Ovis aries: one gene and its partners. The protein of the gene in region 2 binds, or shares a complex with, the protein of the main gene of each other region. Links are inferred from orthologs where the notes say so. Each region holds a gene or a part of one and is shown on either strand. Other genes may lie near its edges.

Region 1 (7,452 bases), on a different chromosome or scaffold from region 2:
CATATCCTTAGTAAACAACTACCATATTTACAATTTCCTTGATACTTAGGTAGGATTGAAAGCCAGAGGAAAATATAAAAGAATGAGCTTTGAAATAATCTTTACAGCTGAGTTGGTAACAGTTAAGGTAGCCAGATAATTTCTAAAGCAGATTTGTTTATTGTGTAGAGCATCTGACTATGCACACCTGGGTAATCAGCTCACTTTGTTAAGAGCCAAGGATGTGTTCAATCCCTCTTTGGGCCCACTAGCATTTCTCAGAAAAAGACAGTCCTCCACAGTCAGACTAATCCTAACCCCAACCAGCCTCAAGAGAAAGTTGGCAAGAGTACTGGGGTTCTTCACAAAGCTTACTAAGGAAACAACATAAAGTGCATATCCCAGTCAGCCTTCTCATCTTCAAATATGGACAGCACAATTAAAATCAGAATTTCAAATAACCCAACACGACTCACTTTCCACAAAAAATAAAACTCCCTTAGTTCATCTTGTCTTTAGATATGAGATATTAGGTCTGTATTAGAGATAGTAACAAGTGTGCACTGGTACCTTGAATAACAAATACCAAAAACAATGCAAATTTGAGACTTTCCTACTAGTATACACATCTGTGCCAACTTCAATTCTTATGCTAAATAAGTGGTTTACAGTCTCTTTCCTCCATTCTTTTCTTTTTTTTGAGAAGCAAACTTGCAAAAACCTCAATGTAACTTGTGCTAGGGGGTAGTGGTTTGTTTTTCTTAAACCAAAACTGCCAAATTTGCTTCATCTGCTCAAGTAGAATACTGTGCCAAGGATCTCACCATATGCAACCAGTTCACATCTGTGGAATTACTGTCTTCATGAAAAGTTTAAGTTCTTCCAAGCGCTTTTCTCTATACTCCCTCTTTCATTTCCTGCCTAAATCCATACTGTCCTTTCCTTTGCAGGTCACAGTAGCTGTTCACATACATTAAATATTATAGATATGTTCTGCTCTTACATCTACACACTTACAAAAGCAGCTTTGTACTTTGTTTGGTGTATGTGTGTGTGTGTGTGTGTTTGTTTTTTTTTTTTTTTACTATGTTGGCTCACAAAAAGCAGTTTTTTTCATTTCTAAGCATGGTACTTTACAATTTTTAATGCATTAATACAACAGTGCATTGGAAAAAGTACTGAGCCTCTACAAAATAGCTTTACATTTTTAAACAAATGAATGTGATTTTTTCACTTACACAAGCATAGGCCTTTTTTTTAATATTTCCACAAGATAAATATCTCAATTAAACTATAAGCTCACTCTACAGTGTGCCACAGTGATGGGCTTAGAAGACAGTTATACACTTAGAAGATCCTAATCTTAGTGTTATTTACACTGATAAGTCCAATATCACCTTGTCTGAAAGGTGAACAAATGATATTCAGAATGTAGCTGAATGTGTGCCAACTAATAACTGGGAATGGTATAGCTTTAAGCAGTCACTTAGGCAACATGTACTGTAACTGAGTCTAAACTGGGAATTTCCTTCACCCCTCTTTCCTATGGCATATGAAACTTTAAAGATCAATATGAAACAGGTAAGAGTCATTGCTAAGGCAGACCTTTTAAGATAACAAAGGAGAAACTGACAAGTATATGATAAATCATCAGTAATAACAATTACTGATACTGAAGTCAGATTTTTATGTCCTAACATGTTGCTTTTAAATATTTCCTTTTATTTTGGAACAGAAATTAGAGAAAGGACAATGACTCATTCAGAAAGCAATGACTCAATTCTGGTTGCTACTTTACATTTAAGCACCACTCAAAAAGTGGACAGAAAGCAAGTGATTCCTGTTTGCCCATCACTATACCAGCTACGTAGCTGAGAGTTCAGACCTTAATCACACAACACTTTCTCTGTTACCAGAAGCTAAGACTGCTCTACGACAAATAGGACAAGTAGAATTCTCAGATAACCAGCGATCGATGCAGTGGACATGGTACTCATGGGAACAAGGTAGTTTACGAAGTTTGTTGCCTTCTGTGTATTCTGTAATGCAAACACTACAGGTTTTTAATGCATCATTTTCACCAAAACTTCTCATTGCCAAGTTGTCAATCTGTTCTTTGGTGAGTCCTCTAGGTTGGTCATCATCATCCTCATTTAAGAGGAAAAACTGAGCGAGACTAAGGAAGGGCAGAGAGCCACTTTCATCAAATGTTACTGGGGCCCTGTGTCGACCCTCTCGCCTGGCACCTGATGAGCCTGATGATGAGCTTCCTTCATTACTGCCTTCAAATACCTCTGAGCTAGTCTCTGAACTTTCACCATTGGAACTGGAACTAGGACTCGAACTGGAACTTGAACCAGAACTGCTACTACCACCAGAACCCCCTCTTCCATTCCGTGACTCTGACCTTTCCATATTTCGACTCGAGACTGAGCCACTAGGCTCTGAATCACTATCACTGTACATAAAGTAGCTTAACTCGCCAAAACCAGTCATTATCTGCCTTAACATGGTCTGAATTGCAACAGATGTAGTCTCACTTAAACCAGTATTTAAGATTCTACGAATTGGAATTCTGATGGTACTGACATAGGTTCTCACACCTGCTCGCTCAGAACGTGAAAACGTACGCCTAAAACCTCCTCGTTCACTTTCATAAGTGACGGTGTTGTTTGGCGTCTGAGACCTTGACCGAGTTCTGCTAGCTATGCTATCTCTCTGCCGATATTCTCCAGGACGAACTCTTCTTACTTGAAGATCAAGGACTATGGTTGGAGGTCTCTGGCCTGATCCTGTAGATTCACCATTGCCAGTTGTGTCTGAAGATCCTGCTCCTTGTGAGGCATTTCTTGTTCCAGAAGCTGCAAAAAGACCTCTAGTTAGTAAGTCAGGTCCACTTATTTGCTGTCTTAATGTCACGTGGTGCCGGGTTCTAGAACTTCCTTCAGTCTCATTTACCAAAGGATGCTCAAAAGTCTGAGATGAGATACTATGATGAGATCTTCGTGGAATTTCACTCATTGGATGTAGAGGTGATCTACTTCTTTCAGCTCTTGCTCGGGTTCTCCGATGGTCTGGGCTCCTACTTCTTGCCCTTCTCTGACCTCTGGTAGGTGGGGCTTCTGTTAATGCTTCAGTTGAACTTCGTTCTGATCTGGGTGGCCTTGCAGATGTTGATTCAGATCGTGGATTTTCCATTTGTCTTTGGCTGTTGTTGTCCATACTTTCTCCACTAGAACGTCTTGTAGATGGTTCATTTTCATTCTCTGGATTTTGGCTCCCATTATTACGGTTAACATTGATCTCTAAACTGAATCTGAAATCACCACTGTTTGGATTAGTCCGACTCACTGCTCTCCAAGATTGGTTTCCTCTTTGCCCACTTCTTGTCGTATTTCCAGTTTGTCTGACTGAGTTAAGCCAGTCTATTATAGAGTCACCATTAGATACATCATCTGAAGAGTCTCCACCTGTTTTTTAAACAGGGAGGGGAGAAAAGGAACTATTAAAAATAAGAAATTATACTCTGAAACTTCATATTATTAACAGAAAAACATTCTGAACAAATTTCAATTTACAGATTTTTTTAAACTATACTGCACTGATTGGCAAGTAAAAGCAGGAAACTTTCAATTCCATTTTAAAACAGCAAGCGAATCCTAGAGAAATTTAAATCATTTTTTTAAAAAGGGAATTGGGAGGAAGTCTATTTTTAGCATTGTATACAGAGCCTAGTGTACCACTGGGGACTGTCAGAAGACATTTTTTTCAGTCCACTGTCAAAACACTAACATAATCAAATAAGGTAAAACACCAGTTGCGGTACAGGGCTAGTATTTTAGTTCAAATTGCAGTTTCTTGGTTAGATTTTTATTAGCCTACAACATTTCTTTGGGCTCTTAAGTGCCTTGGATAATACAAGACATTTAAAAACTATAGGACTGCTTTAGACATTGCAAAAATATAAACAAGATTACTTCTTCATGTTACCAAGATTTTAAATTAACATGAAATTAGAGATCAGAACAAGTAAAGAGTCTGAACCTAGCATAGTACATATACAGCACATTCAACAACCTAATTCTTGTCATATTTCACCCTGAAGGAGAAACACCAGACCTGAGTAAGAACAAGATTTCTTAACAGTGTGACTATTTACATTTTGAACCAAATAATTCTTTGTTGTGGGGGCTGTGCTGTGCATTTTAGGATGTTTAGCAGCATCCCTCGGAGAAGGCGATGGCATCCCACTCCATCCCATGGACAGAGGAGCCTGGCAGGCTGCAGTCCATGGGGTTGCAAAGAGTCGGACACGACTGAGCGACTTCACTTTCACTTTTCACTTTCATGCATTGGAGAAGGAAATGGCAACCCACTCCAATGTTCTTGCCTGGAGAATCCCAGGGACAGGGGAGCCTGGTGGGCTGCCATCTATGGGGTCACACAGAGTCGGACACGACTGAAGTGACTTAGCAGCAGCAGCAGCAGCATCCCTTACCTCCACCCACTAGAGCAAACAGCAAACTCCCAACCAAAAATGTCTCCAGACATTATACCCAACTGAGAACCATCAGATTAGAGACTGCAACCTTTCTGCTGGTGAGGAAGTCAGGTTTATAAGGAAGGACTAATTCAGTGGGTACAGGGAAATTTCAATGAAGGTGGAAAATAAAGAAAAATGATCACATTTAAGACAGGACATTCCTATATCCCAATTAACACTCAAAATAATCCCACAGGTGAAGCAGGAAAAAAAAAGTTAACATTCTCACCAAATATCAAGAAAATGCCAGTTCTTTTTATGAGCAGTTACTTAACACCAAATTAATTTGTGCTACTGATTTGGATTATCTTTGGCTGACATTTATCATAGGAAGCTCCTTATCCATTTCATCCTTTACACCCCTCTCCCAAGAAAAACTTACCTCTATTTTCATCTGAGTTTTGTGGTGGTGGGCCCTCTTTAATTTGTTGTAGTCTCCTCAGCAACTCTTCCTCAGTACTTTCACCTGAGAACAGTTTAAAATATTTGCAAAATTATAAATAAAATCCAATGACTTATCCATCGGAGATGACAACCAAAGAGTAGGAACCTGAGTAAAATTCACCTATTTGAGAGCATGACATTACAACTTTTATTTATTTGTATTCCTTTCCAGTTTACAATATGCTTTTGCATACAATATCTCATTCTTCAAAAATGCAACTCTGGGAGATAGATATTATCTGCATTTTAAGACAAAGAAACTCAGAGTGAGTGAGCTGATTCGTTAATATATAGTAGGGCAAGAATGCCAACTCTGGCATTCTGACTCAAGTCTGGTACTCCTGGCTCAAAATACACTCCATCTCATAATAACCACGCTAACACCTTACCTTTTAAAATTTAAGCAATCACTCAAATGTTAATAGAATTAAATAGAAATGAGGAGGAAGTGATATAATGAATTTTAACTAGAATCAAATCGGACCTAATGAGACAAAAAAGAATAACCAAGCACAAATTTCTGAATAACTGACTATTTTACCCAAGGTCCTAAGAACCAAAGTTCCCATTAGCTCTTCCAGACCACTGTCTAGTAGAGTTAAATAAAGATAAATAACAAAAAGATTGTTCAGCTCCACTCTTTTCAATTCAGCTTACTATAAATTCATAATATAATTCCTCACTAAAAATCCTGACAAAGGATAATTCCAAATATGAGTGAATAATATCAAGTAATAAGTACAGCAGTAAATTTCATTCTATATCCCTGGTATTAAAATCATACTTCACAATGGTAAACAAAACATTTTTTTAAAAAACAGCTGTTTTTTTAAAGACCAGCAATTTATATATCTATATAAATCTTTAAACTACACATTGCATACCTGGGGTGCCTAGCAAATTGTTATCCCTCATAAGCCTATAATCTTCTTCACTGAGGTTATTTACAAATTGATAGAAAGCTTCTTCCCGATCCAATCGGTCCATCTGACTTCTGCGCTGTGCTGCAGACTGATCACCACTTCCTTTATCGTTACAATCTGAGCTTTCCATCTTGATGAACAAGTGGAAAATTATCTAAAAGGAGAAAGGAGATCACTCTTGAAAACAAAAGTCAGTATATCTTCTACATAACAGTTTTAATTGTGTGAAAATCCAGAATTCAGGTTGAGACATGAATTTTAAGACCTCATATATTCGAATGGAAACTTCCTAATACAAACACTGAAAAGCACTGTTATACTAGGAAAAGACTAGGTCAGGGATTGGCAAACTATGGCCCATAGACCAAACTTAGCCCTGGTGACTATTTTTTCTCCTTGAGATGGTTATTATACTTTTAAATGTTTTTCTAAGAGAATATTTTGTGATGTGTGAAAATTGTATGAGATCAAATAAATAAATTCTTAGCTACTTGTCCAGAGAAAAGTTTGGTTAGAGAAATACAGGTAAGAATTCAGCAGCGTAGCAAGAATTGAACGGTGTCTATTCAACAAGGTTAGACCCAAGCAGCTTACTGAATTCTTGGCACTGTAATTGCTTTTGTTTTTTCGTCCTCACAATGACACTGTGCACAAACACTGTTGTTGTTGTTGTTATTCCTTTTTTTTACAGATGAAGAAACTAAAGTATAGAGGGGTTATATAACTTAATCAGGGTTACACAACTAACAAGTAACAGGGCCAGAAGCTGAATCCGGACAATCTGAATTCAGGTTTCTCTATGCTCTACTGCCTCTCACAGAGATATGACATGTAGAATAGAAGTTCTAAAAATGCTAATGGTCAAGCCCACTTTCTCCATTTAATACTATGAGTGTGCACTGGTAATTTAGAAAAATGTTACAGTGTAAGCATGGCACTTGAAATGCTGTCAAGTTATAATTCCATCACTGTGACTTGCAGTGCACAGACCACCAGTGCAAAGCAGTGACAGTGCCACATAGTCTGTCACAACTACTCAACTCTGCCATTATAGGAAGAAAGCAGCCCACAGACAATATGTAAATGAACGTGTACAGCTGTATTCCAGTAAAACTTGATGAACACTGAGTACCATCTCTAAAGGCACAGTGGACATGGATTATTTTATTAGAGCAGATGGCAAGTATTTTATTTATAATACAATGACACTGAAACTGTACCTGTGCTAAAATAATAAAATATACATTAATATTATTAGACTAAGCACTCATCATAGTATTTTCAATTCACAGGAAATCTATGGTCTGAAAAATTAGAAAATTTAAAACAAATATCACAAAATATTTCCTCACAAAAATAAAAAATGAAGCTTCAACCAGAGTTAAGTTTCTAGGTGGCTCATTTGTTGGCTAAGCAAGGAAAGACATTTATCAATGATATGTTAGCTAAATTTGTGTTTGACTGCAGAAGCTAAACAAATAGTCCACAGAAAATAAACTGGTTTAAGATTATTAGCCTTTTAATGAGAACAGTTGCTCAACAAGTGACGATACTGGGATATAT
Region 2 (7,452 bases):
AAGGAAGCGGCAGCCACTCCAGGGTTCTTGCCTGGAGAATCCCAGGGAAGGGGGAGCCTGGTGGGCTGCCATCTATGGGGTCTCGAAGAGTCAGACACGACTGAGCGACTGCACTTTCACTTTTCACTTCCATGCATTGGAAAAGGACATGGCAACCCACTCCAGTGTTCTTGCCTGGAGAATCCCAGGGACAGGGGAGCCTGGTGGGCTATAGTCCATGGGGCCGCTAGGAGTCAGACACGACTGAAGCGACTTCACTTTTACTTTCCACTTTCATGCATTGGAGAAGGAAATAGCAGCCACTCCAGGGTTCTTGCCTGGAGAATCCCAGGGACGGGGGAGCCTGGTGGGCTGCCGTCTACGGGGTCGCACAGGGTCGGATACGACTGACCGACTTAGCAGCAGCAGCAAGTCTGTCTCAGTGAAAAGCTTTCAAGACACGCGCCAACTTTCCCCCTTCAAGTCATACTTCTGTCCACAAAATCTGACTTCTAAAACTGACAAGTTAGCTGGTGACAATTTCTTTTAAAATTTCCTACGGGTTTCTACTACATGTGCACTTAAATGATGATTCAATACCCAAAGTTTGATTTTCCTTTGTCATCACGGATTGTCTAAGCAGATTTATCCGCTAGAGGGATTTAATTTTTTTCTGGCAGTCTTCTTGACAGGTTCCAGTTCAGCTGTTTGCTTTGAACACTCCCAGGAAAGGGAAGCCCCTTCTCAGAGGTAGAGCTATTCAGAAGCAGGCTGTCCCGCGATGGGTCAGGTCTTCCCCCCAGGGAATAGAAGTCTGCCTCCCTGTGACTGACGCCCGCCCCTTCTATTTTTGTCCCATCCAGTCACCCAGAAGCCAGTCTAACCCAACCCACACCATGGACATCAAAGGACAGCTATCACATTCCTCCCAGGACCTACTTTTCCTAGTAAACATCTCCAGGGTAACTATGTATAATTCAGTGGAAAGTACATGGTCCCCGGAGGCCAAGTTCAATAGATTCCTGATTGCTTATTATTAGAAACCCTCTCTAAGCCTCATATAAGTTCTCTCCTCTGTGAAAGGGAATATCCCAGTCTTACTAGGGTGTTTGGAGGAGGGGCGGCTTGGCCCGCAGCTGCCCACTGCAGAGCTTGAGCCGGTGGAGACACTGCAGCATGCCAGCTCTTTCCCTCCCCAGCTTACTCCTGCGTGCCCTCCTAAAGACGAAGAGCTCGGAAGTGGATGAGGCGTTGACGGCACTGCACGACGGGCTCAGAGTTCCAGAGACTGTGCTCCTGAGAGTATCTGCTTAAGGTCTCAGGACCCTGCAGTTCCCACAGAACTGTGCTCACTCAGAAGCCCACACATTATTATTTATATGGAAACAGAGCAAGTCTCCATTTCCTGTCCCATAGCAGGACTCGCTCTGATTTCCAATGACACGCCCCCCACTGAGCTGTTTCCATTCCATCCTGTTGGTTTTGGCCCATCCTCGGGGCCCATCAGAGACACCTTTTCAGAAATGGGACTGTCGGACCTACCCGCTTTCCCTCCTTGCTTTGTTTAATCGACACACTTCTGTCCTGCAGAAGCTGGAAATGCCCACGCTTTTTCTGAGATGTATGTTTCATAAAGCAGACTCCATCAGGCTCCCGAGCAGCACAACTGCCTCATCCGAGCCCCTGGCTCTCCTGCCTGTCGGCATCTCTGTTACTGAAGGGCCTGCCCGAGACAGGCCCTCGTGTCCCCGGCAGAGCGACAGGTACGCAGACGACTCGGGGGCTGGTGCAAAGAAGAGAAGGCCGCCCGATCCCCACCCCTTCAGAGGAAATAAAGGTCAGCTGTACCGCGGCTTCATCACTGCAACTGACCAAACGCAGCCCTGGGGGGCCCGGGGCCGCCAGCTCTGGCATCCTGGATAAGATGTCCTGTGTGTGGCTTCAGTCCTGACAGTGTAGGATATGCTGGGCAAGTTAGCTAGTTTCTCTGTGCGTGGCTCTCCTATTTGGTAAAATGACAGTCATTACTTCTCGATTTGACACCAAAATAACAGCCAAGTCTCAGTGGAAAGGAAGGAAGAGAAGAAAAATAGAAGGGGGCATGGGAGGCAGGGAGGGGACCCCCGGACATCACGGGGAAGGTCAAGGCCGAGCTTTGCTTTTTAAAGTGTTTACTCCAACCCACAATGTTCAGAAGTGAAGCCGGGTCAAATGAGAATTCCGTCTTGGTGGCCAACAGAGGCAGCGTTCTCTGGGTCTTTGCATTTCCAACGTGGAGAATGCCTGCTATACTTAGAACAGATAACCAGCAAGGACCTCCTGCAGAGCACAAGGAGCTCTGCTCACTATTCTGTGCTAACCTGTATGGGACAAGAACTTGCAAACGCGTAGACACAAGTGTGTGGATACCTGGATCGCCTTGCTGCACGCCAGAAACCAACACCATGCTGTGGGCCAGCTGTGCTCCGGCCTAAGACAAAACCTCTTCAGAAAGGGCATGGACTCAGAGTCGTCACACGTGTGACTCACGTGCAGCAGAAAGTAACGTGAAGAATGCTTAAAGGAAATAATAGCACCCTGAATGAATTTCATCACCCACGTCCTGACAACGCTGGACTCTCAGACTTTCTTTAGCCGTTTATGTACGACTTTTCATCAGCCCATCATTTTTATCAATGGACAAATACACATTCTCCTTTACTGAATCTTCCTGACACGATCGTTCAGTCTCTTCGCCTAATGTGGGTGCACACACCTTCGTCTGATGCGTGCGCACCTCCTGGGGGCAGCTGAGCTGCGTAGGCACCACGGCTCGGGGCTCACAGGCGGCACCCAGGCCGGCTCCTGGAGGAGCTCCCTCAGCCCAGGCCACGCCTGGGTCTCCTGGCCCCGGAGCTGGCGCCAGCCCATCCTGTTTCCTACTTCCATCCGTTAACAGGCTGTCTGACGTCACCTTAAAACATACACCACAAAAACGGCAATACGAGAAAGGATGAGAAGGAGCAATGAGGTGTGCGTCAAAGGTCGGGGTGAGGGAATAAACAACAATTTTTCCATTTACATACAATCAGTCCTGGGAAGTTGTCTATGCTAACAGAACAGACATGCATCCCGAGGTGTGCGTACTGAAGAATGTGGGTATATATATACATATAAAAAAGCGATAATACACATAGCTGAAAATGGATGAAGACGTCATACTGACCTTGGGGGGTTTAAACGGATAGTCAGGTGAAAAGGTTATGTCAAGAAAGAACACCCCTCCTTCATAGACAGATCCTGGGGGTCCCAATATAGTTGACCTCCATTCATAAATGTTGTCTCCTTTGGGTCCAGCACTGGAATAAGACATACAAATGAAATGTGCTTAGAGATGATAACAAAGCTTGGAATTGTAAAAATATCTATTTATGATAACAAATTCAGCCATTCCATAGAAAACACACCAAAGTTAATAGGTTAATTCCAAATGAGGATTCACGTGTCAATATCGACAGTATTCTATAAATGAAATATGCTGGTATCACTAAATTATACAGAACCAAGAAGTTCCGTTTTGCTATTCATAAGCTTAAACCTATGAAACAAAAGATTCCAAGGACCACAGACCAGAAGCAAAATTTTTAAATTAATTTTTACTGGAGCAAAATGTTTAATCAAGCATACAATTATTTCTGAGACTCTGAAAGGGTGGCATAAGGTCAAAGAGACAAATTTTCAAAGCTAGAAGGAATGCAAAAGAAAAAAAATAGTCTAATGCTTTTGTAAACTAAAAGCAGCAGGGAGGTTGATGGAGACCAGGAAATGGTCATCATTCACAAGGCTCAGCCCAAGTATCACATCTGCATCTTCTTTTCTCACTCCACCGAGAGTCCCTGCTAATGTGCCCAGCGCCCCGTCCCACCAGGGGGGCTGTAGAAGACAGGGTGCAGCATTTTGTTTAGACCTGTGCTTTGAAACTGCCTGCTTTCCCGCCCCTCTCTGGAAGTCCTCTGAGGACCAGGTTCTGCCTTGTTCTTGGTACTCAGTAAATCAGAGTCGGCAGACGCTGCTGCTGGAGTAACAGCCAAGCGAGGGAAGCCACGCGGCTACTAGCGGCAAACCTGTGCTCCCCCGCTGCAGAGAAACTCACGGGCGAAAAGAAGACCCACACGAGCCAACTGAACTGTCCCCGTTCTCCCAGAGTAACAGAAGGCAAAGCGAGATCATAGTTAAGCCCTCCAGCGTTCTTCCTGCCACACCAACCTCACAGCACACCAGCCAGAAATCCCCTCACACCCTGCAGCAAAGCGGGCAGTCCTGTTACGGTGCTTGGGAAGATTTTATTGCCCACAAAGATTTGTCTTCTTTCATACTGTGAAATTAGTTTCGTATCTACAACAACTTCATTGTTGGGCAGGAGACCAAAACAGCATGCGTCATTATCTATGACTATGGATGAGAATACATCAATACACCAGGGAGCAGACAGCCTCCTCAATAAATGGCGCTGGAAAAACTGGACACCGACACGCAAGAATCAGACCAGACTTTCTCACACTATATACACCATTACACTCACAAGGGATTAAGAGCTAAATGTAAGCCCCAAGCCCATAAAAATCCGAGAAGAAAACAAACGCAGTACACTCTTTGACGTCTGTCTCAGCAACATTTTGGGGATGTCTCTCAGGCTAGGGGAACAAAAGCGAAAATGAACAAATAGGGCTGCTGCTGCTGCGTCGCTCCCGTCGTGTCCGACTCTGTGCGACCCCAGAGACGGCAGCCCACCAGGCTCCCCCGTCCCTGGGATTCTCCAGGCAAGAACGCTGGAGTGGGTTGCCATTGCCTCCTCCAGCGCATGAAAGTGAAAAGCGAAAGTGAAGTCGCTCTACGTCAAACTAGCTTTTGCAAGAGAAGGAAACTATCTCTGAAATGAAATGGCAGCCTACTGAATGGGAGAAGGTATTTGCAAATAACAAATTCATTAAGGGGACAATATCCAGAGAACACGAAGAATTCATACATCTCAACATAAAAAAACATACAACCTATTAAGAAGTGGGCAAGGGACCTAAACAGACATTTCTCCAAAGAAGACATCCCATGGCCAACAAGCTCAGGAAAAGCCGCTCAACATCACTGATCACAGAATGCAAATCAAAACCACAATGGGTATCGTCTCAGGCCCGTCACAGCGGCAGTCATCAGAAAGACAGCAACCAACAGGTGCTGACAGGGATGTGAAGAGAGAAAGGGAGCCTCCTGCACTCCTGGCGGGAATGTGAACTGGTGCCGCCGCTGTGGAAAAGTGTGGAGAGTCCTCAGGAAACTGAAGGTAGAGTGGCCGTGCAATCCGGCGAGCAGACACGCAGACAGTGATGCGGAAAGAATATGCGTCCCAGCGTTCACTGCGGCGTCGCTGACGGCGGCCAGGGCACAAAAGCGACCTGAGTGCCCGTCAGGAGACGAATGGATGAGGAACACGTGGCGTCGTGGTTTATATATGCATATGCATTACGTCTACAACACACACACATGTATATGCATCACGTCTATGACACGCATGTATGCACATCACGTCTATGACATGTATGTACGTGCATGTCTGACACGTATGTATATGCACCACGTCTATGACACGCATGTATATGCATCACGTCTATGACACGCATGTATTCGCATCACGTCTATGACATGTATGTGTGCATCACGCCTATGACACATATGTATGTACATGTCTGACACGTATGTATATGCATCACGTCTATGACACGTATGTATATTCACTGCGCTGTGTCTGTGAGATATGTATACATCTGCTGCTAAGTCGCTTCAGTCATGTCCGACTCTGTGCGGCCTGACAGACGGCAGCCCACCAGGCTCCCCCGTCTCTGGGATTCTCCAGGCAAGAACACTGGAGTGGGCTGCCATTTCCTTCTCCAATGCATGAAAGTGAAAAGTGAAAGTGAAGTCGCTCAGTCGTGTCTGACTCCTAGCGACCCCATGGACTGTAGCCCACCAGGCTCCTCCATCAATGGGATTTTCCAAGCAAGAGTACTGGAGTGGGGTGCCATTGCCTTCTCCACATATATAAGCATTGCACTATATCTATGACATGCGTTTCCCTGGCGGCTCAGGCTGTAAAGAATCTGCCTGCACTGTGGGAGACCCAGGTTTGGTCCCTGGGTTGGGAAAATCCCCTGGAGAAAGGAATGGCTCTCCACTCCAGTATTCCTGCCTGGAGAATTCCATGGACAGAGAAGCCTGGTGGGCTACAGTCCATGGGGTCACAAAGAGTCAGACACGACTGAGCAACTAACATTTCACTTCACTTCATCTATGACATATATATACACATATGTTGGCCACTGTAAGCAATGCTGCAGTGAACACTGGGATGCATATTCTTCTACTGTTTTCATTTCTTTGGATACATACCCAGAAGATGTGCATATATATAAATGATAATATATGGGGCTTCCCAGGTGGCACTAGCAGTAAAGAACCTGCCCGCAACGAATGAGACCTAAGAGACGTGGGTTCGATCCCTAGGTCAGGAAGATCTCCTGGAAGAAGGCATGGTAACCCACTCCAATATTCTTGCCTGGAGAATTCCATGGACAGAGGAGCCTGGCAGGGTATAGTCCATGGGATCACAAAGAGTCAGACATGACTGAAGTGACTTAGTACACAGCACATATATAATACTATCATATATCATATAAAAATAAATGTATCAAATACAGATGTGGAATGTGTGTATATGTGTGTGTGTATATATATGTGTGTATATATATGTATATATATGTGTGTGTGTGTGTGTATATATGTGTGTATATATATGTATATATATGTGTGTGTATATATATATGTGTGTGTATATATATATACATATATAATATTACTGAGCCATAAAAATGGCAATCTCGCTGTTCGGGGCAGCACAGATGACCTCGCGGGCACGACGCGCAAGGAAACAGGTCGGACGCAGAAAGACAAACGCCACAGGACCTCACCGACATGCGGCATCTCGGAAACAAAGCCAAAGAACACGTGCACGGAAACAGGACCGGCTCACACACAGAGAACAGACAGGCGGTCGCCAAACGGGAGGGAGGGTAGAGAGGGGGCGGGGCTTAAGCGGGACAAACCTGCAGCGGCACAATACATGAGCCACAGGGAGGAAACGCACAGCGTGGGAAATACAGCCGGCAATCGGGGGATAGTTTCGTATGGTGACCGATGAGACAACGCCAGAAAAGCATGCATCCTAACCAATTTGGGATTATTCTGGGAATGCAAGGATAGTTTAGTAACAGCAAGTTATTAATGTGATTTAAGTTTTTAATGTAATTTATTTATATAAGTTACTAATGTAATTTACTTGCAACACATTAAAGTAGAAAAAAAATGACAATCACAATAGCTGAAGAAAAAAACACTCAATAAATTTTAATGATGGCTATTCATGAAAAAACTCCAAGCAAATCC
Region 3 (7,452 bases), on a different chromosome or scaffold from region 2:
TTTTATTGCTCCTTCTGGAAGCCACATATTGGATCTCCTGGGGAACTGCTCTAAATTTTTTAAAAAAAATAATTTCTCTCCCATTTTCTTACTCTTATCTTTTTTTTTCATACTTTCTTGGAGAATTTCTAAACTATATCTAACAGAGTTTAGATTTCTAAAAGTATTTCAATTAGTATCACTATTCTAGGAATGTTCTTGTTTTTATAGTTTAAATTATTTCAGTTAATACCACGTTCATTTTTTATACTGTTTTATTTTGGTCTCTATCTTTCAAAATAAAGGCTTTCTCTAAGTGGCTCGTGATCTCCGATGTGCATTCTTTCTCAACCATTTCTTCTAGCCTGTGACAGTGACAATAATAGCCCATTTCACTCATTTTATCAGCAGTTGTTTGAAGACTGTAAAACTGACCCATTAGAACCACGCCTTCACAAGAAACAAAAATGATTCTGATTTATATGCACCTTGTATTTTCAATGCAGCAAAGTATGATAAGATGATTGATAAAATGTTATTAGGGCACAATTTTGTGGGGAAGATGGGTAAATTTGAAAATAAGAAGAAATAGAAAAGTTCAAACAGTACAGGAAAAACTTACCCTGAGCTTTTTATGTCAACTATGAATACTAAATTACTATGGTATTAGAGTCCCCTGGCTATATTTAAAAGTCTTAATACCTTAAACTTATACAAAGTTATATGCCAATTATATCTTGTAATACTTTTATTTTTAAATGTCAGTGTTTAATATGCTGAAAACTGCATCCTCTGCCACTATTTAAATTTAATAGTAAGAAATTTAAAGAGCAACTTAAACATTAATGTGTGAGATCTACAGTTTTCAGAACCATTTGCTGGTAAGAAGCAAAATTTTGAAGATCATGAAGCGAGAATGTTTATTTTCTCTTCCTACAATTTCACTTAATTATGGGTACACTGTGAAATAAATTTTCAGAAAACACAGCCTCCTCTAATTCCTGACGATATTCATTCAACAAATGCCTAATGAGCTCCTCCCTAACGGCAGACACTGGCCGAGGTGCTGTGGGTATGGCGATGTATATATATAACAGATAAACACCCCTGCCCTCGTGGAGCTTGGACCTTCTGGTGATCTCTGTGATATTTTAACTGTACCCAGCTTTTGCTACCAGTTGATAATAATCTACTTAATTTTAAATGACAAAAATTCATTTCAAAATGAAAAAAGCAAAACCTGATCCATATTTTGCTTCCAAAAATCCTTCTATACTGAAGAGAGATGCCAGTCAGGCTGAAAATGTGTGTGAACCAGAAAAAATAAAAGGGCATGTTTACTCGTCCGAAAATCAATATCCACTTATTTTCAATCGTGTACTGTCCTTCTACAGGAATACGATGCCAGTGAATGAGATAGCCGCTTTGCCCATTTCCCCCTGCAGCAGTAATGCTTACTCTGATTCATCCATTCTGATCTGATCTGTACTGGAACCTAAAGCAGCTATTTTCTATAACTGGCAAGGTATGTGGAACTTGATGAAACACTGACTGACTTCAGCAGGGTTGCAGCCAGGCCTTTGGTCCAAAACAACTAGTCATTTCACAATAATATACTCAGATGATTATGAGAAGCTCTGGTTCTTAGCAGGTGGGTATCAACTGAGGGTGACTTAGGTGTTCTGAGAAGGGCCTCCAATGGTCTCTTCTTCAGGTTGGTCAGTTTCCCTAGGGAATTAACTCTAATCTCCTGCCTGAAGAGTATATGCCTGGATACCATATCTGATAAGAGGAATAGGAGTCTACCCCATCAGTATATCAATTTTCACTTAATTCTTGGTTTAAGCATGATGAGTCTCATTTCTATTCTCAGCCATGTTTCATGAACTTGAAACCAGAGCCTGCATGGTTCGATTTCTCCAGAGAATAAACCTCTAGCCTTTTGCTGACCTGAGGAAGAGACAGTCATTTGGCAGTTGGAGGCTTAAGGAAAGGAACTAGAGTATCTGACTATTCCCTTTAAGAATGTCATCTAGGGGATTCCCTGGCAGTCCAGTGGTTAAAACTCTACGCTTCTACCACAGGGGACACAGGTTTGATCCCTGGTCAGGGAACTAAGATGCCACAAGCTTCAAAGCACAGCAAAAATAAAAAAGAATGTCATCCAATCCTCCAGAGGTATACAGGACCTCCAGTTTCTTGACTTTTTCCAGAGTTCTCTGGTGCAAGACAGTTTACTTCTTGATGGGCAAGCTCTGTAGTCTTCTTTTGTTCTTTGAGGTATGTCAAGTTAGTTATCAGCCATCCACTGGCTCTTCAGCTTCTAAAACTCTATTGATATCTCCTCCTCACTCTCTTTGCTCTTGTAGGTTTACATCTCTTCATCCTTTACTGTCACTTTAAGTAGGGTCTTGGGATACAGCAGAGATAAATGCATGTGTTCAATGCACATGTTTAACCAAAAGTTATAAAATTACTTCCTTATTCATTCAAAGTTGGTGATGGACAGGGCCGCTGCAGTCCATGGGGTTGCAAAGAGTCGGACACAATTGAACGACTGAACCCAACTGCACTGATTCATTCAAAAATTATTTTAAGTGCTTGACAGTGAATCACTGCAGATACAGCAATAAACTAAACAAAGACACAGTCTCTATCTCTCTGCAGGTAACAGACAGTCTAGGAGGAATCGCAGACAACACACAAGTAATCGCTCGGGTGCTAAGAGAGAGACATTTAGGATGACACAGGAGGTTACAACAGGCAGACCGACCCAAGGCCGGGTGGGCAGAAAGAACATGGGAAGGTTTCCCGAAGTAAACAACTACTGGCTCCACACCAACACATTTTCTAGAGAAAAATTAAGCTTGTTAAGTCCAGGGGAGCAGCTTACCGGCGCTGGATCTGCCGTGCAAAATTGTTGCTGGAAGCTGAGCAGGGAAACTGGACTTCACTATGCAGGGTAGCATTCCGGAAGAGATCACAGAAGTTCTCAAAGAGCTCCAAAAGCTCATCTGACGTGTTCTCAAACACAGCAATCACCTCTGTTGTTACCATGTTGTACACCACAAAGAAAGATGCCTGCAGAAGGAGAGAGAGACCCAAGGGACAGCTGAGCATAAGACCTTACCTAGCATATTCACCATTCGGCTGAAAACTCAAACTCCCCAAGTAAAACAAGCAAACACCTCCACTCTGGCACTACAGCAGCAACATGATGCCTAGAGGTTCTGGAAGAGGAGGAAGCCTCAGTGGGATTGAGCCATCAAGGGCCTCAGAGCTGCCTGATTCCCCACTGTACCTGTGCTGCTGGAATTACTGAGTTGTTCAGCATATATGTATAAAAGGGCTTTCAATCTTTCATTTCAAACTGTGTGCAAATTTAATATGTTTCCTTTCAAGTGCTTATTCCCTACTTATGCCCCAACCCATTCTGAGATTAAAAACACTTTTCTAAAATGCCAGATTTAATTTTCCTTCCTGCTGAGAAAGTGATTTGCAGTCAGGAGCTGCCTGTTGGCAAATTATTTTCTCTTGTATGTGTATAGCAGAAAGTTCAATTTGGGGGCACTTCCTTTTCTTTCTTAGTATTTCTAACATGCAGAGAGACGTCTTAAGCACACCATGTCCACCTGGGCAAGTTGTAACCAAGCGGGGGACTGCTGCTGGACAAATGAAAAAGTCAGAGAAGCGTTTTCATTTCTTTCTTCATAAATGTTCTTTTAGCCAAGAGCGTTTGTAACACATGTTGGACATTTGTAGCAATACAGATCAGAGGGGGAAACATGAAAAGCATTCAGATGCTCTGGGTGGCAGAGTTACTGCTTTCTCTGAATGGGTCCCTAGGTGCCTGCTCCTCTTCTCTGAACCTCCAGTGTTCTGCTCAGCTTAACACGGAAGCACGAGGTACCCCAAGTTTTTGTCACAGTGAATGTGGCAGTGTGGGTCTTCCACCAGGACTCTAGAAGTTTCCAGAACGCTAGGATTAGTATTCTGCCTCCTAGGATTAAACCTGAATCTTCATTACCAATTTTTGGAGACATCTGGCCCACCTGTTTCACCAGTAATTAGTCCTTCCCAGAGCTTATATTACATGACTTTTGCGGTCACCTGGAAATTAAATTTAGCTGTAAATTAAAGAGGCTGGAGGGTAATCTGAGAATAATACCCATAATATTAGCAAGGCTTTGTGTTGAGGTACACTTTTTACTCATTAACCTTATTGGAACCTATCAAATTAAACTGGGGAAGGAGACTGGAGGAAAACGAGGGGAGAGTTTGGGTTTAAAGTTACAAATTCTGTAAGCAAAGCACAGAGCCCTAGCAATGTTGCTGGCTATGACTTACTGTAGCTACCGGACATAAGGAGGTCACGTTTTAGTGAAGGAGAAAAGGATAATCTCGAATGCGGCAGTCACAGACAATATACTCCCTCCAAAACAAAAAGGTAATTATAGCTCAAACCTAAATACAAGATGGACTCATGTCATTTCTATAAACCTGGACGACACTTGGATCACATGAGGGCTTCACCAGGATCCATCGTGACTGTGTGAACACAGAATTACACAAATATTTACTAACATTCCCACCAGGGCACACTGGGAAATACACGACAGAAGGGTACAGAAGTCAAAGGCTCTACCAACACCCTCTCATGACGCCTGAGATGAACTGGACGCTCACCCTCAATGGTGACTTCATCATTAATAAGGAAGTAAAAAAATTCAGAAAAAAAAAATCTCTAACGAATTTATTACTCAGATCTCAATGGGCTTCCCTGATGTCACTGGAAAGAATCTGCTTTCCAATGGAGGATATGCAGGTTGGATCACTGGGCCAGGAAGATCTCTTGGAGAAGAAAATAACAACTCACTCTGGTATTCTTGCCTGGGAAATCCCATGGACAAAGGAGCCTGGCAGGCTACAGTCCATAGGGTTGCAAAGAGTGGGACATGACTTAGTAACTAAACCACCACCATTTTAGTCACCTCCCCTCCCCTACCCTTGTTTTTGTTGTTTTTTTTTTTAGAATACACAAGGTATGATTCAGAAGAAAAATATTAGAAACCATTTTTCCACTGATGGTTGGTAAGGTCTCAGGAGAAAATTTTCTGTAGTTTCTCTTAAGGGCAGAATCAGCTACAAGTCAATGAGAGAAACCAGACTCAGCTGACGGCAGTTTACTGGTTTGTTCTGTTGTACACTTCCAAACTCGTATATAAGGAGACAATGTGGAAATAGGAGAATGATGGGGGGTGGGGTGTTGGTTCCAAACTGGGAAAGGAATACGTAAAGGCTGTATATTGCCACCTTGCTCTTATACGCAGAGTACAACATGTGAAATGCCAGACTGGACGAAGCACAAGTTTGAATCAAGATTGCAGGGAGAAAAATCAATAACCTCAGATATGTAGATGACATCACCCTTAAGGCAGAAAGCAAAGAGCCTCTTGATGAAAGTGAAAGAGGAGAGTGAAAAAGCTGGCTTAAAACTCAAACTTCAGAAAACGAAGATCATGGCATCCAGTCCCATCACTTCATGGCAAACAGTGGAAACACTGAGAGACTTTATTTTATTGGGCTCCAAAATCACTGCAGATGGTGACTGCAGCCATGAAATTAAAAGATACTTGATCTTTGGAAGAAAAGCTATGACAAACTTAGACAGCATATTAAAAAACAGAGACATGACTTCACTGACAAAGGTCCATTTAGTCAAAGCTATGGTTTTTCCCGTAGTCATGTATGGTTGTGAGAGTTGGACCATAAAGAAAACTGATCACTGAAAAACTGATGCTTTTGAACTGTGGTGCTGGAGAAGGCTCTTGAAAGTCCCTTGGACTGCAAGGAGATCAAACCAGTCAATCCTAAATGAAATCAGTCCTGAGTATTCACTGGAAGGACTGACGCTGAAGCTTCAATACTCTGGCCACCTGATGTGAAAAACTGACTCATTGGAAAAGACCCTGTTGCTGGGAAAGATTGAAGGCAAGAGGAGAAAGTGTCGACAGAGGGTGAGATGGTTGGATGGCACCACCAACTTGATGGACATGAGTTTGAGCAAGCTCCGGGAGTTAGTGATGGACAGGGAAGTCTGGCATGCTGCAGTCCACGGGGTTGCAAAGAGTCAGACATGACTGAGTAACTGAACTGAACTGTAAAGAAGTTAGGTCTCTCTTGGTCAACAATAAAGTAGACAGCTCCTCAAAGGTAAATGTCCACATCACCCTGAGGTTCAGCATGGTGTTTCAACCCAACCATCTTCACGGTTTCTATACTCTTAACCCAACACCTTATTCCTATTTGTGAAATGCGTCTTCCCCATCAACATCTTTCACCCAAACTAAAAAACCCTCAGAACCTGCAGTCCTGGTGATTCACTGGTAGATCAAAAACTTTTACTTCCTTCCCATCTTATCACTGCTCCACAGTCTATGTTCCAGCATGTGGGCAAGGTCAGAGTAAAGTCATAGAGCTTAACTCTATTAAATGAACTGTCCCATTGGTTACAATCTAAAGATTTTGTGAGGAAGTATACTGAGTTCATTTCAGTAAGAAAAAGACTAGTTACAATCTAAAGATATTGTGAGAAAGTATACTGACATCATTTAAACAAGAAAAAAGACTAGACTTTTGGAAGATTTTCCTTTTTTGTATGATGGGTTCATTCTCATTGCCAGAACTAAAACAGACCAATAAGTACAATCTTCCACAAAACCAAGGCACTATCCACAGGGAGTCAAATCTTAACCTTAGAGCATCTGGGCTTCCATCTCCAGGGTACTGAAAATGCTCTACAGAAGAATTAGGGTAGGGAACCTCCCTGGTGATCCAGTGGTTAAGAAACTGCCTTCCAATGCAAGGGACATAGATTTGGTCCTTGGTCAGGGAATGAAGATCCCACATGCTGCAGGGCAAGCAGGATGGCCCTGCTTGCTGCAGCAAAGACCCAGCGCAGCCCCCAAAAGAGTAAAGTTGCAAAAATATATATATTAAAAAAAAGAGAAATAGGACAATATTCACAGGGTTGACTACCTATATGTCAATGGCTTGAGATTTAGCTTCCATTTGTCCAAACAAATACATATGGCCAGAGATAAGTGGAGCTGTTCTAAGTTCGGCCCTAGGGGAGCAAAAATTCAAGATCCACATAAAAGGTGTTGCTTCCGAGAGGCTGGGAACAGGCAGAAGAAGCCTCCCGCGAGGTGGCGGGAGGGCGACAGGCGGGGCGGCAGCTCCTACCTGCGACGGGTCTGTGACCCGCAGAGTCACCACGTCCTCGCTGGTGTACTTGATGAACAGGTGGTTCTCATCCAGAAGCTGCATCTTCCACATGCGCAGCTGCCGCAGCTGGTCAAAATACTGAAAGAAGCGCCTCTTGGCCACGGCGCTTCCGTCCTGCTCTGCCCGGCGCCACAGGTACACCAGCAGCCGGTGTTTCAGGGAGTTGATGAAGGGGTCCCTGAACGG

What was found. Proteins that work in one complex are often made in the same cells at the same time.
Region 1: the proteins of UBE2E2 (region 2) and RLIM are in contact, whole or in part, in a crystal structure (PDB 6W9A), measured with the Homo sapiens proteins. The link is inferred for Ovis aries from reciprocal best matches to the Homo sapiens genes UBE2E2 and RLIM. Residues at the interface, in NP_001357154.1 of Homo sapiens: Lys52, Thr55, Lys58, Arg59, Lys62, Pro112, Asp113, Pro115, Phe116, Ile142, Asn146, Trp147, Ser148, Pro149, Ala150, Leu151, Thr152; in NP_057204.2 of Homo sapiens: Ser571, Val572, Cys573, Ile574, Thr575, Cys596, Arg599, Trp600, Pro608, Ile609, Arg611.
Region 3: the proteins of UBE2E2 (region 2) and DET1 are in contact, whole or in part, in a cryo-EM structure (PDB 9BJZ), measured with the Homo sapiens proteins. The link is inferred for Ovis aries from reciprocal best matches to the Homo sapiens genes UBE2E2 and DET1. Residues at the interface, in NP_001357154.1 of Homo sapiens: Ala77, Gly78, Pro79, Lys80, Gly81, Arg88, Ser89, Thr90, Gly101, Val103, Phe105, Phe123, Arg124, Thr125, Arg126, Ser134, Gln135, Gly136, Gln194, Trp195, Arg198, Tyr199, Ala200, Thr201; in NP_001137546.1 of Homo sapiens: Arg258, Phe259, Tyr261, Asp264, Thr267, Val268, Phe272, Glu274, Asp289, Pro290, Phe291, Ile292, His297, Arg298, Leu300, Val301, Trp304, Arg305, Phe319, Phe320, Gln321, Phe323, Asp324, Arg327.

What each region holds. Positions count from the first base shown.
Region 1 is NC_056080.1:66,760,032-66,767,483, forward strand, and holds part of RLIM (E3 ubiquitin-protein ligase RLIM), read right to left. Parts: intron 6,044-7,452; 5' UTR 6,020-6,043; coding exon 5,851-6,019; intron 4,989-5,850; coding exon 4,905-4,988; intron 3,450-4,904; coding exon 1,870-3,449; 3' UTR 1-1,869. UniProt on the Homo sapiens protein: E3 ubiquitin-protein ligase.
Region 2 is NC_056079.1:41,734,253-41,741,704, forward strand, and holds part of UBE2E2 (ubiquitin-conjugating enzyme E2 E2), read right to left. Parts: intron 3,318-7,452; coding exon 3,185-3,317; intron 1-3,184.
Region 3 is NC_056071.1:18,916,008-18,923,459, forward strand, and holds part of DET1 (DET1 homolog), read right to left. Parts: coding exon 7,225-7,452; intron 3,061-7,224; coding exon 2,873-3,060; intron 1-2,872. UniProt on the Homo sapiens protein: Component of the E3 ubiquitin ligase DCX DET1-COP1 complex, which is required for ubiquitination and subsequent degradation of target proteins. The complex is involved in JUN ubiquitination and degradation.